4 linked regions of the Neurospora crassa OR74A genome follow. The protein of the gene in region 4 purifies or fractionates together with the protein of the main gene of each other region. This does not show direct contact. Links are inferred from orthologs where the notes say so. Each region holds a gene or a part of one and is shown on either strand. Other genes may lie near its edges.

Region 1 (4,948 bases), on a different chromosome or scaffold from region 4:
TTTTGCGTTGCCGGGTCGGGGCGGTCGCGCGGGTACCCGAGCGAAGGGTCCTCGTTGGCCTTGTTGAGGAAGGCCATGTAGGAATCGTCCGAGGCCATTTTCGATGTGGTGGTGGTGGTAGACGACAGCTTCGCGGTCGAGGTGATGATGTGCGGTGTACGAGGCGTATGAAGCGTAGTACCTGCGGAAAGGGACGTAGTGATGCGCAAGAGCGGGAGAGTGAGAAATCGTTGCGCTGCTGGTCGTTGCAAATGGAGAAGCGTAGAAGTTGTTCGAGAGAGAGGCAATCCAGCGGGTGTCTGGTGTTCGAGAAAGAGCCGGGTAATTAGCTTTGCGGATTGTCGACAAAGAGTTTGTGTTGAGGATGGAAGAAGCAACTAGAACAGATCTGGGTCAGGGTTAGGGAAGTTCAAACCATTATGTTGTTGTGTTTAGGTTGAGAACGTTTCGTTGGGCGGGACGACGATGACAATGATCAGTCAGGTGGGTGGGCTGCGTGGTGGGATGCGAACGAACGTCCGATGATGTAACCTGCAGTAGCTGAAACCAATTAGGAATGGCGGATCTCACGTTGGCCTAAGAGTGGAAGCGTCAACCAATCAGGAGATGGGCTGCTTGCAAGGTCGATCGGGGTTTGATATGCCCTCAACAAGTAACAACAGCCATGTACGCCGTGAGGACTCCCAAAAGCACGACTAGGAATATGAGAAGATGGTCGAAAAGTGATATCATTATCAGTCGTGGTATCGCAGATGAACAATATCAGGAAGAGAAAGCATAGAGACGGGTAGTGAATGACAGGTGGAAGCTCATGAACAGTTGATAAATCGAACACGTCCAGCGCAGCAGAACAGGCAACGAGAATCACACGACATGCTACATTCAAGACTATCAAATTGGGTATATCTATATGCCACTGGTCCCTTCAAGTCATTACCCTACACTAGTGGGGGCATAGCAGCCCAAGACAAAAGTCCTGGAATAAAACATACGAAGTTATAAACAACAGTGTCCATCGAATCTGTGCCAACCACCAGATTCTTCACGTGTTCACATCACATAAAACACATTTTGCTGAAGGACACTCTCTTTGGCAGTACACTGGATCAACGTTTCATTGTTCTTCAACAGCTTTTTATTAAGCCGTAAATGCTAGGTATAGTCCCATTTCCCGACCGACCCGAAAGAGCAACGAAAAAACCGTGACACCAATGCAACCCGACTAACAAGGAGATCAACTGCAGCAGCCAATTTACGAGCTGGCAGCGAGGTCCTTCTTGAGGGTACCCTGGAACTGCTTCTTCTCGGCAGGGGTCTGGAAAGCACCATGACCGAACTCCGAGGAGGTGTCGATCCACTTGAGCTCGACCTTCTCGAGGGCCTTGCGGGAGGTGTGGACGAACATGGACTTGCGGAGAGTCATGACTCTCTTCTTGACACCGGGAACGGAGCCCTTGACCATGACGAAGTCGTTGTTGATCTCGCCATAGCGGACGAAGCCACCCATGCTGGAACAGGGTTAGTTTTGCGCTCTTCAACTTCTTCAAGACAGACGGGGATACATACGGGGTGATCTTCTTCTTGGTGACATCGACCTCGGTGGCAGCAGAGTCCTCAGCATCGCCCTTGCCAATGCGGTAGATCTTGTGGTTGACCGAGGTACGGTGGTGGTAACCGGCCTGACCAGCGCGAGCAACAGTCCACTGGACGTGGGAAGGATGCCAGGCACCGATACAGGCGACCTTGCGGAGACCCTTGTGGGTCTTGCGAGGAAGCTTCTTGGTGCCCCAACGAGCGGTGACACCGGTGAAACCGTGACCCTTGGTAACGGCAATGACGTCGATAACCTCGTCCTTCTCGAAGATGGAGTCGATCGAGACGGGCTTCTCGAAGAGGCCGTGGCCGAACTCGACCTTGTCGGCGACGGAGCCACCGTTGATCTGGATCTCCATAAGGTGGGCCTTCTTCTGCTTGAGGGGAGTCTTGCGGATCTGGGTGTGGGCAAGAACACGGACGACAGTGCAGTACTTCTTGATGCGCTCGAGCTCGCGGGTGATGGCGGCACCGTTGTTGTCGGAGTGCTTCTTGACGTACTTGGTGAAGGCCTTCTTCTTGGACTTGTACCAGTTCTTGTAGAAGCGGCGCTTGACCTCGTCGGACAAGTGCTCAGCCCAGACGGTGGTGAGGGAGCGGAGACCGCGGGGAGTCTCGATGTACTAATATCGGGGTTAGATCACACGGTCGCGGTAGGCCATATACGGCAGCTGGACAGGATCAAAGACTTACGCCGACCAGACCCACAACGATCATCTGCGAGAGATGTTAGCCATTGACACAAAAAGAGCCAAGCGGGCTGCGTTGTACGTACAGGAGGGGTATCAATGATGGTCACAGCCTCAACGACCTCCTTCTTGTGAGCCTTGGCGCCGGGGCGGTCGAGGTCGCGGACGATGGTGGTCATGCCGGCCTTGTAGCCCATGGCGGCGGTAAGGTGGACGGGCTTCTTGGCATCATCCTTAGGGAACCTGTCATGAACGCGCAACTGGTCAGCCTCTCTGTTCGCATGCCCTATTGCCCAAGTTCCGATCGCGAAAGATCCAAACTACTAGCGATAGTGTTGTCGATGGTACCAGAAGATAAGCTTGACTTACGACTTGACCTTTCCCCTGTGGCGGGCCGCGCGCTTGCGGGGAAGGTAGGCCAGCGAACCGTGGCGGGGAGCCTCGTACTCTGAAGCATCGAGTCAGCATGAAGGACGTTCAGGTTGCCATGAGGTCCAAGTCGTGATCACGCATGCTCCCCAAAATCCAGTCGCCAAAAAGTCGAAAATTTCGATATCGCGACGACCGTCTCTCGGGAAAGCTGCTCCATCGATTCTCTCGAAGTCGGGATTGCGTGTAGAAATCGACAAAGACCGTATGTCTGGCGGCGACAGCGACGGCGATGAGGCGTTACTTACTACGGTGAGACATGACTGCTGATGATCCCAAGTACCCGGGTTGTTGATGGTCGAGTGGGAAAAAGTTCACTACCGCGAAAACAAAATCAAGAAGTATCGCCAGAGAAATTGGACCAGCCAAATTTTTGTGTGAGTGGTGTGGATTGGACCGTGCACGGGCCTCAAGTGCAGCGGAGCCCTAACTTTTGCGCGAGCCCTTTCCGGCGGGCATGTCCGCCTTCCTGTTCCTCGAGCCCGCCCAGCCAACCAGCGATGACCAGCCAAGCCCAGAACAATCCACCCCACAAGAGCGACCCCGTACACTTAGTCAGCTTGGCGGGCCATTCACTAATGGCACATTGATGACAAGGTAAAGTCCTGTTGAGGTGGCAGAAAACGTGACTTTGATTGCTCTGCGTATAAGTCCGTCATCGTCGCCGCTGCCGCCGTAGGTACGTTCGCAGATGGAATACGAGATATGGGATTTTTTCGGCGCCTGCGCGTGGCAACGGCTCTGTTTGGTCTGGTCGGTTACAATATGTTGAGCTCCAATCTTCGTTGTTCCCCCCCTTGACTCCATCTTGATCACACGGCTGATTCTCCGAATTCGATGTCCGCGCCCACGGTGTCAAAGAGAGCAAGCTGTTGTGGCTTTCAATAGCCTAGGTTGGGCTGTTTGGATCAAAGCGAGATCTCCATCTATTGGGGTTGTCAGCTGCCTGTCAGAAGCATGACGACATTGTCAAATGCCCCATCTGCTTCTTGACTCAATACCTCTAGCTTGTCGAGCTCGTGGACAAGGGCATTATAACAGTCGTAGATGTAAAACAAGTGGGTTGGCTTAACATGATTACATGATTAGGCGGACATGCATGGTCAAAGGCGTACTGGTTACAAGGGATAACCACGAAAGCACTACACTTAGCTGTCATCTCCTTGACTTTTCGGGCTGAGGCGCCGTTCAGCCATTTCAATAACACCGTATCCCGTGCGGGAATGATCACGACGTTGCAATTACGATCCCAAGAGTGTAACGACAATCGTAATCATGTTCTCTAACTGGCCTCTATGGCAAAGCAGCGAGTTCATTTCCGCCTCTTGAGGATATTCCCATTCCCTTCTCGCTGTCGACTTTCCAACAGATGACATGCACACGCTTCTATTCCAAACACAAGTCATAATAATGTATGTACATCGGAATCCGCTCCTTCCTCTCCCTCCTCATCTCCTACCGGTCAGTCAAAACGTGGTAAAATAGTGCATTTCGCACCCATGAGATCTTGAGCTTCACAGGTCCTTCTGTCTCCATCATCCATGTGTGTGAAATGATGACCACTCTTTCAAACCACATAAAACGAACAAGTCGACGTACATTCCCATCCATAAGCAAAACCATTATGACATCGACAGGATCTTGGGTTCTCCTACCTCTGCCGTATTATAAGCAGATACACTGGGTCTTGTCTCTCGCGCAGAAGCTCGAGGTACACGGCAGATGATGTAATCAGTTGCTTTCTGACTTTTGTCCCATGATGCCGTTGAAGCTACCGCTCGTTGAGGCTCCGTTCTTGGACTCGTTTGCTGCAGGGCCGGATCCGGAGGAAGGACCGGGAATAATTCCGCCCTTCTTGTCCTCCTCTCCGCTATCGTCATAGTCCTCGTCAACGTCCATTTTACGGGCCGCACGCTCAGGCTCATTGACGATGGGGGGGTGCTGGGCTGGAGGATGGTCCATCCGTCGGTCTTCGGGGGCGGGCTGATGTGCTGGGCCTGGGCCTTGCTGCTGAGGTCCGGGGACTGGCTGCTGGGGTCCGTGGCCTTGCTCGTGGATGAGGTTCTGCATCGGAGCCGAACCTTGCTGCATCGGCGGCAAATGGGCAGGGGCGGAATGAGACTGGGGATGATGAGCGGCCTCCGAAGGATGGTATCCCTCGTTCTGGTGCCGCTGCTCCTCAGCCCGGCGCATGTCCTCCATGCGACGTTGTTCCTCAGCCCGGCGCTGCTCCTCAA
Region 2 (4,569 bases), on a different chromosome or scaffold from region 4:
GTCGGCATTTGTTCCTTTATCGGTCGAAGGACATTTGCCTCTGGTGTCATTCCGGCTGCCCTCTGATTCATCATTACTTTTGATGTTCTGCAATGAATTGCTTGGTTGGTTGGAGATATTCTTGCGCACACTTGCACGACAGCGGGAGGATTGGATGTGCCAACTGCCAGATTAGGTTACGATCTTCGGCTATCATTCAGTTACAAAAAAAGCGCTTCAATCGCACACCTCACCTCACCTCTCCTATGCTTACGATACATCCATCCATCCATCTAGCTGCTCTGTCTCTCTCTCCAGCCAAAGGAGTCATAGTCATTCAGTTAGTCAGAAAACAAGTCCATGAAATCGAATTGTACTCTGCATTGGTTGTTTATCACATGCCGTTATCGAATGAATCAGGGTGAAGTGGAGAATGAATGGAACGAACGGATTCAAAGAAATGAAAAAAATGAAGAAAGGAAGGAAGGAACCTGCTCCATGCAAGTAGTGTGTGTACCACCTGCCTTACCTCTACCTACCTAGTGTACTACCACCAGTGGCACAAATATGATGTACCTGAAAGCCCATCATTCCGATGGTCTGGTTTCTGGGCGGGCGGGCGGGGGACACTGAATGGTGTTACTGTTACGGTTACCGTTATGTACAACGAAACGGCGAGAAGGAAGGAAAGGATTACGAATAGAGGCGGCTGCGCTGTACCGCTACGAGAATAAATGACATTGGTTGATTGGTAGGTAAGTAAGTAGGAAGTACTTGTGCTCGCAACCCAACGACGTGGAAGCAGGAAGAGAGAAAAGATAATACTGTAGGCACTAAGTATCTAGGTAGAATAGTGAGGACAGTCATCGAAAAAAAAAAAAAGGTTTCGTTTCTGAGAGGTCACTACAACAGTGGAAGCAATGTACCTACCTGGGTTACCTTGCTTTTAACAAACAGTTCTCTGCCCGATTGGAATATGCAGGGTGAACTGATTGATGGATATCTCGCGCCTTGAAATGTTGTGGTTGAAAAAAAAAAAAAAAAAAAAAAAAAAAAAAAAAAAGACAAAACATGAGCAGCGTGGAGAGAAAGAGAGGGAGTGCAATATCTACTTCTTACACAAGTCATCACCATCCGACACGTCAATGGGGATGAACGGCATATCGAGTTCTATTACCTAGATCGTTTTGAATCCAATCACACAGCCGTGCACATTCAACCCCGGTGTAAAAAAGCAGTGAAGACCAAAAATATATGAAATATTCAAACATCAGGCTTTTTGAAAACAAAAGGAAACCGAACCCTATATACAAATGTTACTACAAAGGCGCCTGGGCATGCTCTCCTTTTTTCTTGCCTCTCTATAAAACGTGGACGGGCGGCTGGGGTGGCGGCAGAATCCCAACCCGTCTTCTTCTGCTTCCCAGTAGGTATAACAGCTTATTTCGAACCAAATAACCAACCGTAAGAGGGATATCATCTCATCACATCTACTCCTCATCTCCACTCTCCTCCTCCTGGGCCGCAGAAGCAGCAGCAGTCTTCTTCTTCTCAGCCGCCGTTCTCGCCCACTCCTGTGCCTTGGCGCTGACTCTCTCCCTGCTCTTCTTATCACCGTTCTTCTCCTCCCACTGGGCCCACCTCCTGAACCAAGCCTTGGCCTGGCGGGGCTTGAGGCCCTTGACCTTGCTACCGCGATCAAACAGGTCGCGGATAACGCCCTTGTCGGCGTCGGCCGCCGAGGTCTCGAGGTCGATGAGCTGGTTCCACAGGTCGAACTTCTTGGGGTAGGTGGCCAGCAGGTTCTCGAAGAGGGTGCGGCCCTGCTCCTTGTCGCCGTTGGGCGAGCGGAACTCGAGCGCGGCGAACTTGGGCAGAAGGGCGAGGTACATGTGCGTCTCCTTGCCGAGCACCTGGGTGGCGCGCTTGAGGAGGGCGCGGGCGCGGTCGGGCGAGTGCGCGGTGGTGTGCAGGAAGTGAGCGTAGTTGACCCAGACTTCGGGGGATTTGTAACCGAACTCCTTGACGATCTTCTCGAAGAGGTCATCGGCTTGCTGTTGTAGGGGAATTATGTTAGTAATTCTGTAACCACATGGATTTTTTTTTCAGGGGGGGTGGGTGCTTACCTTGCGCTTGCCAGATTGGATGTAGATACTGGCCAGACGCTCATGGACCTCCTGCTTGTCGTTGTATGTGCAAGCCCGCTTGAACACCTCGTCGACTGTCTCCTCATTGCCATAAGCAACCTCCAAGTTGAGATAGGCAATCCAGACGTTCAGCTTCTCGATCTCCTCCTTGATGTTGATCGTTTTGATGGCACGCTCAGCCACTTGTCTGGCAGCGGCCAGATCGCTCACCTGCATTTGGAAGGCCATGTAGGCGATCCAGAGCTGGGAGGAGTTAGGCTGACCAAGAAGTAGACGCTCGTAGTCGCTGGCGGTTTGAGGTCCATCAACATCGAGCGAGGCAGTCTTATCGACCGTAACCTGAGGCTCGCGGCGAGCCTTCTTCTTCTTGGCCAAGGCCTCAAGATCCGCCGCAGAGGCATTGGCCTTCTCGCCATCCTCCAGAGAAGCAGACCAGTCGAAGCCACCGGCCTCAAGACCCTTGACATCAGCGTCAACCATCTCGACATCGCTAGCCTCATCCTCATCTTCGGACTCGTCCTCGACGTTGTCGGTACCAGTAATCTGGACGGCGTCGTCGGCGTCGCTCATATCCTCATCAGAGTCATCGCCCTCACTGTCCTCGGCATCCTCCTCGTCAACGTCCATCTCATCCTCATCATCCTGCTCGCCAAAGTAGGATGGCTTCAAGCCAAGGTTGATTCTCTTGGCAGTTATGTCCACCTTCAGGACCTTGGCCTTGACCTTGTCACCTTCCTCATACAGCTTACGAGCATCCTTGACGGTCTTGTCAGACATCTCGCTACGATGGCACAGGCCAGAGAGGTTGGCGGAGCCATCGATGTCGATGAAGGCACCAAACTCCTCGACCTTGCGGACGCGACCAGTAATGGTCTGGCCTTCCTTTAGGTCGGAGATGGTGGTGAGAGGAACGTAGTCCTTGTCGACAACAGAAGGCTTCAAGCTCATCTCGATACGGCCGTTGGCAACAGAGATGATGCGCCCCTTGACGAGCTGATCAACCTGAAACTGCTCCTTCCAGTACTTGAGATAAGCATCGGAAAGATTCTTGATCTGGACGAAGGCGGTGACAGTGCCACCGAGAGTGACGAAGAGACCCTTGTCAGAGACGTTCTTGACGAAACCACGGACAATTTCGCCAACTTCGAGCTTGGTGTTCTGAGTGATCTCCTTATCCTTGACCGGAAGCGAAGAGTTGAGGATGCGAGAAGGTCTGGTAGACAGACGTATCCTCTTGTTGCTCTTGTCAACTTCAACGACAGCAACACGGACGATCTCGTTCTTAGCGAACTTGGCAGGGTTGGCCTCTTCGTAGTCATCGACAAGATCAACCTTATGAACGGGTCCAGCCAGGCTCTCGCTAAGCTTGACAATGACCTGGCGTTCGTCAACCTTGGTAATCTTGCCGACAAGGATGACATCCTGTGCGATCTTGTCCCAAGTCAACTCGTCCTCGGAACCAGGAGATCTGGCAGAGAGATCGAGGCGCTTGGATTCGGCATCCACAGAGACGACGCGGACGCGGAGGGCCGAGCCAATAGGGAAGTTCTTCGCAAGGTTGGTCAATAAAGAGACATCGTCAGAGGCCTCCATCGCATTAACTCTGCCGCGAACAGTGGGGGAAAGGTTGACCCAAAGGTGGCCTTGGCCAACATTGTTGACGAAGCCCACGTAGCTAGAACCAACCTTGAGGTTGTCGAAAGACAGCGGCTCGGAAGAGGCGCCCTCCTTGACATCGCTGGGCTTCGCGGACAGTTCGAGGACGGAGTGGCTGGATCGGTGGGAAATGGGCAGGAAGCGGTGGTTGCGAGCGTCATGGACGCCCAGCACGCGGACAGGGACGACCTGATTGGGCTGGAATCTCTTCAACGGCTTCTTGGTATCCTTGATCTGCTCCCAGCTGTCGTACACCTGAGAAACATCAATACGACCCTGAATGTTATCAGCGAGCTGAACGTTGAGCTGGGTGTCCTTAACGGACACAATGCGAGCCTTGGTCAGCTTGCCAATGGAAATATCATCCAAAGTGGTAATGGATTCATCCACGGGGTTAGCGACCTTCTCGCCCTTGGTCTCGACCTTCTTAACCTGCTCCGCAGCACCGGGGATAGCAACAACCAGGCGATTAAGCTCGGTGTTAACCGAAGTGATCTTGACAGTAACAGACTGAGACTTGAACATGCCAAAGTCGGGTTTGTCCTGATCCTCGCGAGGAATCATAGACTTGGGAAGCAAGGCGGTCAACTTGCCACCGAACTGGACGAAGACAGCCGTAGCAGTGATGTTGCGAATATAACCAGAAACCTCATCTCCGACGCGAGCACCATCAAGGGTAGTAAGGAACTTGCCTTCCTTGCTAGCCTTGACAAGGCTGGGCTTCTGGGAGAGAATGATGGAACGGCGAGCCTCGTTCTTTTCCAAGATCACCAACTCGGCAAGAGTC
Region 3 (4,461 bases), on a different chromosome or scaffold from region 4:
ACAATATCAACGTCGAAATCGAAGGAGACGGGAGCACGACCCTCAGCGGCGAAGACGCTTTTGTCTCTGCCACCACCAAAACCGGCAAGAATGGCACAAGCAAGAAAACCACCGAACCCTCAACAACATCCACAAAACGCAAACGGACCTCCAAAGAATCCAACGAGTCCAAAGAGTCCAAAGTACCCAAACCAATCGACCCCCTCATCTCCGAAGCCACCCTCTGGGCCCAGAACTACCTCCTCTCCCATATCTCCCGCAAACAAACCTTTGCCCCCAAATCCCCCCTCTCCGTCGCCAACCTGCGCGCCTATTACCTCTGGTCTCGTAATCCGTCGATGAACTGCGAAGCTCTGGCCGCGTTGCTCGGCATCAAGACTAGCACGGCCGCACAATACATTCTGGTGGCTATTCAGAAGGAAAAGGGTAGGCTGTCGTTTGAGCCGAAGCGGATGAAGGAGGAGATTTTTGGGTCTGGGGTGATTTCGGAGGAGACGTTGAAGTTCAGGTGGCAGGGCGTGCAGATGCTGTGTGCGTTGTATGAGGAGGCTGAGGCGCGTGGGGTGAATGGGACGGGGGTGATGGATGGGGAGGGGGTGAAGGGGAAGAGTGAGTTGGAGTTGTTGGATGAGATTTTTGGGCAGGAGCAGGAGCAGGAAGGTGAGGTAGAGGAGGTTGAGGGTGAGGAGGTAGATGAGACACAGGCAGAGGTGGAGGTAAAGCCGAAGGAAGAGAGCGTGGAGGATGTGATGAAGGCTGCGTTGGAGGCTGGGGATTTGGACTTTGATGAGGAGTTGACGCTGGGCAATAGCAGCAGTCAAGCGACGGTTGATGAGGAAGAGGTGGAGAGGTTGAGGAAGATGTCGAGAAGTCACTGAGCCGGCTCTCAAGCTGCTGGTCGAGTGCTGAACAAGAAAGGAAAGATGTCGACGATGCACCTATACCCCGAGACCGACTTGGCTACTTTTAGACGTTGGTAGATGAACCTTGTATAATCCTCAGAACAACCTGACTGGGCTCTGCAGAAGCCATCTAGTCTATGCTCCAGGTCAGTACAGTTTTCGCGTACAGTTTAGTTCAGAAAGAATCTGTCACGGCTGTTCTTGGCCTCGTCCCTGCAGATATCACAAAAATATCCTGTACAGTATTCACATTCCATTTTATCTATCCTGGGTATATCATAACAACCAAGTTCTGCTGCTTCCCTTCTCTTCATCAACAACCCCCTCTTTCCCGACCATTTTTCTTCCTCTACTCGGCATTCACACCCCTCCCCTTATTAATCTGCACCTTCTTATCCTCACCACCGCTGAAGATGCCCAGCTGATCCCACACCACGCTGAACACCTTGCACCCGTCGCCCGTCACACTGCTCTTCTTCTTCTTGCCCTGCTGGCTCTCGCGATCAATAACGTACACGGGCTCGCTGACGCTGCCCATGCCGCCCTCGTCCTTGGTCGCTGGCCGGACCGACCGCAAATCCCAGATCCGGCACGTCCCGTCGTGCGAGCCCGAAACCAGTGAGTACTCGTTCTCCGGGTTCGCCGCCAGACTGACCACCTTGTTGGCATGCCCACGCAGCGTCATGACGCTCGTCGCGGCCGTGCTGGTGCGCGGGTCGACGAGGGTAATGTGTCGGGCGGAGGTGCCGCAGGCGAGAAGGGGCGCCGAGGCCGAGGAGCGCGGCAGGGCAGCGAGAGAGAGGAGCGCATGCGAGGTTGTGAAGGTGCTGACCACGCTGGAGGTGGTCAGGTCGATGGTCTTGACGGTATGGTCCTGCGACACAGAGTAGGCAACGGTGCGGTCGCGGGGGTCGAAGACGGCGGCCGTGGCGGGCGCATTGTGGATGTTCATAAGGGCGAGCGGGCCGCGCTGGGCGGCGGTGACGGAGGTCGCGAGCTTGCGGCGCTTGGATGTGTGGGCGCCGGGAAGGAGCGAGGAATCGGAGACTTCGGGCGCGGACGCCTTGGAGGTGGTCCAGAAACCGATGGAACCGTCGGCGGAGGCAGTGAGGATGCGCTTCGAGGCGCCGTCAACCTCGAGCGAGTCGATCGAGGAGGTGTGGCCGTACAGTTCGAGAGTGGGCTTCAGCTCGCCGCGACGCTCGTACGACTCGCCCGACTCGGTGTACTTCCATACGCGAACTGTGCGGTCCATGCCGGCCGAGGCAATCTGAGTGCTGGAGAGGAATTTGGCAGCTTTTATGCTGGCAGTGTGACCACCGTGGCTGCCCGAGGGCGAGGTGCCAATCACATTTCCAGAGGCGTCCCATATCCTGAGGAGACCGTCGTACGAGGCGGAGAGGATGCGATCTTGGCCGCGCTGAAAGTTGTCGCCGGACCAGCGGCCCGCGGGAGAAGTAGCGGAAAGAACATCGACGGCGCTGACCCAGTCGTCGTGCTCAAAGCTGGCCTCGTATGTTGGTGGGATCAAACTGCGAACGTACTGAAGGGTGATGTTGGTTTCGAGCGAGAGGCCGTTGGCGTTGAGGTACTCTTCAAGACTGCCGCGGAGGAAGCTGCCGTTAACAAGGAAGTCGAAGGGGATCGAGTTGGTGTCGAGCATGGACTCGGAGTTGAGAATACGGGAGAGGCCATAACGGCGGATGTCGGCGGGGACAAGGAGCTGGCGCTTGCTCTCATCGAGCTGGATGTCCTCCTCCTGGGTGGTGAAGGTCACCCGGACCTGGGCGCCTGATTCGGTAGGGTGGTCCATGGCGGTGCCTGTGCTGTGATATTATGTGAATTGGGTAGTCGCTGTTCGGTATGGGCAGGCTGAATACTATCAATTGACAAGTAAAAGTCAGATTGGCTTAGATTACCGTGAAACAGGCGTCGTCGGGAGGAGAGTGTGGATGTTTACTTTGCAGCGGACACCACAAGGCCATGCCAAATCCAAGACTCCATCCAATTTTTTCTGTCCAGCCTTGCAGCGCAGGGGTCTGGAGTGTTCTAGCTACCCCACGTTCCCCTATCTTATCGGAACTTTATAGCGGGGCCGACGGTTCCTGTGAGGGTCACAGTGCTGAAGCGCCGCTACTATGTAAACTATACTAGTATAGAGTAGTACCGGTCATGTACCTGGCTTAATTGAACCCACTGGAGCTACGCGTCTCGAAATTGTCAAGCGCGTCGTCGAGTTTCGTCCCTTGAAGTCAGTTTCCGAGTCGGGCAGCACATGAATAAGTCACCAATTGCTTTTGTCGTTCTCACATCTTGAGCCATTGTCAGTATCAATCATACGATGGTCACCTTGGACGAAGTTCTCGGTAGCGGTTTGCTACAGAAGCCCTCGTGAGTAGCAGTGGATCATCCATCTTCCACTGGCGATCATCAGCTAACAACCCAACTTCACGAAGAGGCGATGCGCCCGAGGCTCTCCAGCGCCAGATCACCAACTACAAGCCCCTTCATACCTTCAAACTCGAAAAAACCCGTCCCTATCAACAACAATATGCCGATATTTACTTTTTGCGTCTTACAAAGATCAGGCCCGCCGTCGAGGCAGCCGCCAGCGCCGCTTGGGAGGGAACAGTGCTTGGTGGTGAGAAGGTCAAGAGGGTCGAGCGTGTCCTAGACGTTCGCCAGGGAGAACTATGCTGGGTAGCTGGAACAGTATATATGGACATGCCTCTAAAGCCCTCAATCCTCGAGGATGTCTCCAAGGATGTGAGTTTCAGCCTATCCTTTGGTGGACACCAGGCAGCTGACAATGATGTTATAGCGCTGGATCTCCGCTCCCACCTCGGTCGGCCACTACTACTCCGGCAACGGCGAAGACTCGGTAATGCTCGAAGACGACTCCGGCCGCATCCGTCTTGTCGGCAACGCTCTGCAAAACCACTTCATGGTGACCGGCTGCATCGTCGCGGTAATGGGCACCGAGAACGCCAACGGCGAATTCGAAGTCATCGACCTCCTCTTCGCCGAACTACCACCACAGCCCGAGCGCTGGTCGCTCTCAAAAGGCAAAAAGGAAGCAGACTCCTCCGAAGACGTCGAAATGATGGACGCCTCTTTCTCCAGGCAGTCCCACAAGCCCTCCTCTAAAAAGATTGCCCTCGTCTCCGGCCTCGAGTTCTCCAACGCCGACACCTCCTACGCCATGGAACTCAACCTGCTTCTCGAGTATCTCCTCGGCGAAGCGCTCGATCCCTCCGTCCAACGCGACGAGCTCTCACACATCACCCGCCTCATCATAGCGGGGAACTCCATCTCCACGACGGCGGCCGAACAGGCCAAACCCGCGGCTGCCTTCGACACCACCACCGTAACAAACAAGTTCCAACCACAAATCAAAAAATACGGCTACGACAGCAGCTCCTACAACCCGGTTCCCTCCCAACTGTTGGACAGCTTTCTGAGTGATCTCCTCCCCACCATGCCCGTCACCCTGCTCCCGGGCGCGCTCGACCCCGCCAACGCGAGTTACCCGCAACAGCCGATTCACCCGGCCATGTTC
Region 4 (4,244 bases):
CAGAGCCTCGAGGCCGAATGCGGAAGGCCTTCACTGCACAAAAGAGCTTGCAGCACTTGCAGCACTTGCAGCATGGCGGGGACATGGGCGGCGTCCCGTCCCACTGCCCGTGGAGACCAGCTTTTGCGATTTTACAGGCTGTGCTTGGCACGTGTGAGAGACCTGTGGAGCTGCTTGCTGGAGCGGGCTTCTCCCGACGGGAATCGGCTATTTTGGGACCGGACAATCGCCTGTTACCTTGATCTGGCTGTGGACCAGAGAAAAACAATGAAGCAATTCACGACGGTCAGAATGTCCGAAAAGAAATCGATCCTGGAAGCAAACCAGGGTTGTCGGAAGCTGTAGGAAATTCCTGTATTAGGATCCGAAGTGATAACCGCTCCACTAACCAAGCTGATATCGTCCAAAGCCCGGGTTTTGGACGTTTCCCCTAAAAGTTCCGATTCCAATCACAAGACGACAATCTCGTATCAGATAAAGTACTATACCTCAAGGTAGGTATCGTCAAGATAACCATTTAGTGTGTCCGTATCAACACCGATAGTCAAAACTACAAGGGACGCCAAATCGTTAGATAGGTCGAACACATCCAGCGATTACATGCTTGGGAGGGTTTATTTTATCGTTTAGATACGACTCAGATGAGGTGGCATGTTCAAGGCGCATTTTCACCTGCGTAAGCGCTCCAATAAGATGGTACATGTTGTAGATGTCCCCGCGCTTCCTTCCTTTTTGTCACATGTCTCTGTTCAAGCTTTCCTCTCTTCCCCGCCCCAGACAGACCGCAATCCGGGGTAAAGGCCCAATGGTCGCCGCGGGGTTAGGGCGTGTAGATCTACCCCTGACTGTCACTGGATCCTGTTTTTGTTGCATTGGTCAACGGTTCACAGCCCTGACAGCTTCTTCCTCCCTCTGTGGTCGGAGTACGACACTGGTTGGTCCTCAGTTCCCCTTCTGCTTCCCCTAACTGAAGCAAAGAAAGTCCGAGGATTTTCACTTGCTGTCTGGCCAGGCGCGACCTGAGCTTCCCCTTTGGTGCTAACCTCCCCATAGAAGATACACTACTGTGCTTTTGGGTCTGGATGGCTGTCGGACTTCATGTGAACCTGATAGGCTTGACGGCCCGCTGGTATACGTTATCTACACTACACTAGACACTACACTAGAAAAAGATAACACAAAGTCCACATGACCATTTGCAGGGCTGAGAAAAAAAATGAAAGTTTGAGCGTATCAAAGTGACTAGCAAGACCGCCAGTTTTTCAAAGTAAATCCTTCAATGAAATCACAGTCTCTAGGCCACATGACAGTTGATGCGGTGAGGATGTCGTTAGGCCCGATGCCTGGTGGACAAAAGAAGCAGGATTCCAGAAGAAGTCCGGACAGAGTGGCATGGATACCAAGTTAGGGGAGAGTATGGGGATCAGGGGAAACAGCAAGCGGGAAGAAGGAGATCCCGAATCGATAGCGGAATGCGGACGGGCGGGCAAGGCGGGGAAGCGGGACGGAGGAGAATGGATGGAGCCGGATTCTACATTGACGGGGACCATCGAAATTTCGTGATGCACCTTCCGCCCTGCCGACGATGTCGCTGGTGACTGAATGCCATGCCCTCACGCTGCTGGCATCGACTCAGCTGTCACCTGTGACCACCGCAGAGGTTGCTGGGGAACGGGTGCGGCCGGGATGGAATTCGACTGCTGTCGGGTTCCTGCCGATCATAGCCGAATCCACAGTCACTAGCATGCACCAATCACATAGCGAGCGCATACCTCCCCGCATCTTGGCGATAGCTGGACAAGCCAAATGCCTGCCGCAAAGTCTTATCAGCTGCTTATCTCCAATTGTCAACTCTCGGAAGCTTGGTCCACCAGTTTTTTCTGCCGGGCGGACAAGATTTCGTTTCAATCGGCTTGAACTCCATCCACCATCATCTCCAGCCCAGCCTGCAGCAGCATCTCGTCGCCTCTAGGAAACCGATCCCAGTACTTCGTCTTTTTACACAGCGTATACCCAATTTGCGTTTTGGCCCTACTACAACACAACGAAACAGTCGAAACAATCGAGTTGAGTGGAAACACCACCAAAAAAAAACCAGTCAAGATGGCGTCGCAAAATATGCCGTTCATTAAGAACCTCGCCTCGAGCGGTACGTTTGCATCCCACTTTCCAGTACATACACTGCCATGTGATCGAAGTACAAGCTACATCACCACTTGGGATACTTGCCTACCTTGTATCTCTTGACAATACTACCACTTCTACATCCAATCACGTTCTATCTAAACTCAAAATGTATACCCAATTCCCCATTCGATAAGCCCTCCATCACTGACATTTTCTCCCTTTTCGATAGACAGCAAAATCCGCAAGTCAGCCCTCGCTTCCCTGCACACCTTCCTCTCTGCCAAGCACATTGCCACCACGCTCTCGCCCATCGACATTCTCAAGCTGTGGAAGGGTCTCTTCTACGCCATGTGGATGTGCGACCGCGCCATCCCCCAGCAGACCCTTGCCCAGGAGCTCGCCGATCTCATCTACATCCTCCCTCGGGAGTCCGTCGTCCCCTGGCTCAGGGGTTTCTGGGCGACCATGTCGCGCGAGTGGACGTCGATCGACGTGCTGCGCATGGAAAAGTTCTTGTTGCTGGTCAGACGGGTGGTGGGTGCTTCCTTTAGGTGGATGAAGGGCGCGCAGGATGGGAAAGCGGATGTCAGTGCTGCTACTGCTACCAAATCCAACAAAAAGGGTGGGAAGAAGGGAAGCGGAAAGGAGAAGAGCGCGTGGGACGCCAAAAGAGTCGATCAGGTTCTCGACATACTTGCCGAGTGGCCGTTTGCGCTGGACGAGGACGTCAAGGAGGATAGCGATTCCGAAGAAGAAGAAGAACCCGAAGCCGACGAGGACGACGAAGATGCCAAGCCCCAACACGAATCTCTCAGGAAAGAGAAACCCAAGAAGAAGGAAAACAAGGACCCGCTTCACCTCCTCGCCAAGAAGATACCCTCGGGACTCAAGATCCACGTGCTGGATATCTGGGTGGACGAGGCCGAGAAGGTTGGCATGCTGGACTTTGAGAGCGACGAGGAGGCGCTCAAGATTGTGCAGCGGATCATCGAGAAGATCGAGGAGCTGGAGCAGCGCACGGTCAGCCCCGCGATAAGAGTGAGGTCCAAGGACTCATTGTCGGATGACAGGCTACCGGGGAATGACAAGAAGCCTGTGGAGAAGGAAGATGAGGGATGGGGCGGGTTTGATAACTGATTTCGTTTTGTAAAAATGGTTTTTGCTGAGATATCATGGCTGCTGGCGTAATAGAGTTGCTTTGTTTGATTTCGTTCCCTTGAAATACATTGCATTGTTGACCAATGTCTTGAATCGTGAACCTCCTCATGACTTTCAATATATCACAATGTTACCCAGGAGACTCCTAGTTTATAAGTAGTAGTTTGAAAAGTAACTGATATACATCAACCTTGGTTTAATTGTTACTGAAACACCATTCCACCAAATTTCATGCAAGGTATCTGATTGGTGTCAACGAGATGCGTTTTAGGTACTCTCTATACTCGTATCTAATTCTTTCGTCTATCTTCACAAAATAAGCCTAATGTGTGGCTCCACAGAGCTCGTCCCGGACACCCGGCGAATCACTTCCGGAAACTCATCTACGATGCGCAATCTTGCCGGCAAGCCGCGTATAAGCCTGCTCAACCTCATCGGGAATATCCACATGGACGATGGAGCCATTGCCCTTGGGACCATAGCCGTATTCGTCATCTCTCAATCGCGGAATCTCGCCCATGACCAGCTGCAAGAAACGGTCCATCTTCCACATCAATGCTTCGTTGACCGGCGGTGATTCGTATGCCAGCTGCCCGCTAGTGCCGCCACCGCTGCGCTTTACGCGAGGAACAAAGATCGGACAGCCGAGGATTGTCGGGGGCTGCGCCATGTCCATGTAGACACGGTCGAAGCATGCCACCGTCCGTCGAACCATGGTCGGATCTTGAATGACCACAATGGTGCGCGGCGCGCTTGCTTCGAGCAGCTTGCGCGCTTCCGACGCGTTGGTAGCGCAGGTCGTGGAGCGATCTTCGATAAGGATCCGAGGTGCAGCGCTGGGGTCGTCGACCTGGCTTGCGTAGAACGAGTTCCAGATAGCATGGAGGACTTGGGCTTCGGGCAGCCCACAGATCTCGGCAGCTATGCTCTTGAATGTCGGGTGAAGGGCGACGGCCTTG

The links.
Region 1: the proteins of NCU07942 (region 4) and NCU06843 purify together in Saccharomyces cerevisiae (affinity purification with western blotting; 3 studies listed by BioGRID, with this or other methods). This does not show direct contact. The link is inferred for Neurospora crassa OR74A from reciprocal best matches to the Saccharomyces cerevisiae genes RRP1 and RPL3.
Region 2: the proteins of NCU07942 (region 4) and NCU06272 purify together in Saccharomyces cerevisiae (affinity purification with mass spectrometry; 3 studies listed by BioGRID). This does not show direct contact. The link is inferred for Neurospora crassa OR74A from reciprocal best matches to the Saccharomyces cerevisiae genes RRP1 and RRP5.
Region 3: the proteins of NCU07942 (region 4) and NCU03764 purify together in Saccharomyces cerevisiae (affinity purification with mass spectrometry; 3 studies listed by BioGRID). This does not show direct contact. The link is inferred for Neurospora crassa OR74A from reciprocal best matches to the Saccharomyces cerevisiae genes RRP1 and YTM1.

What each region holds. Positions count from the first base shown.
Region 1 is NC_026502.1:1,783,465-1,788,412, forward strand, and holds NCU06843 (60S ribosomal protein L3), read right to left. Parts: upstream 3,102-4,948; 5' UTR 2,973-3,101; coding exon 2,960-2,972; intron 2,731-2,959; coding exon 2,652-2,730; intron 2,526-2,651; coding exon 2,369-2,525; intron 2,311-2,368; coding exon 2,287-2,310; intron 2,217-2,286; coding exon 1,567-2,216; intron 1,509-1,566; coding exon 1,253-1,508; 3' UTR 814-1,252; downstream 1-813. Other genes in the region: NCU06844 (hypothetical protein), read right to left, coding at 1-299, 416-418; RCM-1, read right to left, coding at 4,443-4,948. UniProt on the Saccharomyces cerevisiae protein: Component of the ribosome, a large ribonucleoprotein complex responsible for the synthesis of proteins in the cell.
Region 2 is NC_026503.1:2,149,396-2,153,964, reverse strand, and holds the end of NCU06272 (mito ribosomal protein S16), read right to left. Parts: coding exon 2,106-4,569; intron 2,034-2,105; coding exon 1,470-2,033; 3' UTR 1,132-1,469; downstream 1-1,131.
Region 3 is NC_026505.1:2,339,884-2,344,344, reverse strand, and holds NCU03764 (microtubule associated protein), read right to left. Parts: upstream 2,910-4,461; 5' UTR 2,716-2,909; coding exon 1,252-2,715; 3' UTR 1,137-1,251; downstream 1-1,136. Other genes in the region: NCU03765 (3'-5' exonuclease/helicase), read left to right, coding at 1-878; NCU03763 (DNA polymerase delta subunit 2), read left to right, coding at 3,244-3,293, 3,359-3,668, 3,724-4,461. UniProt on the Saccharomyces cerevisiae protein: Component of the NOP7 complex, which is required for maturation of the 25S and 5.8S ribosomal RNAs and formation of the 60S ribosome.
Region 4 is NC_026504.1:1,277,038-1,281,281, reverse strand, and holds NCU07942 (hypothetical protein), read left to right. Parts: upstream 1-1,893; 5' UTR 1,894-2,103; coding exon 2,104-2,149; intron 2,150-2,356; coding exon 2,357-3,264; 3' UTR 3,265-3,364; downstream 3,365-4,244. Other genes in the region: NCU07943 (DUF218 domain-containing protein), read right to left, coding at 3,665-4,244. UniProt on the Saccharomyces cerevisiae protein: Required for 27S rRNA processing to 25S and 5.8S.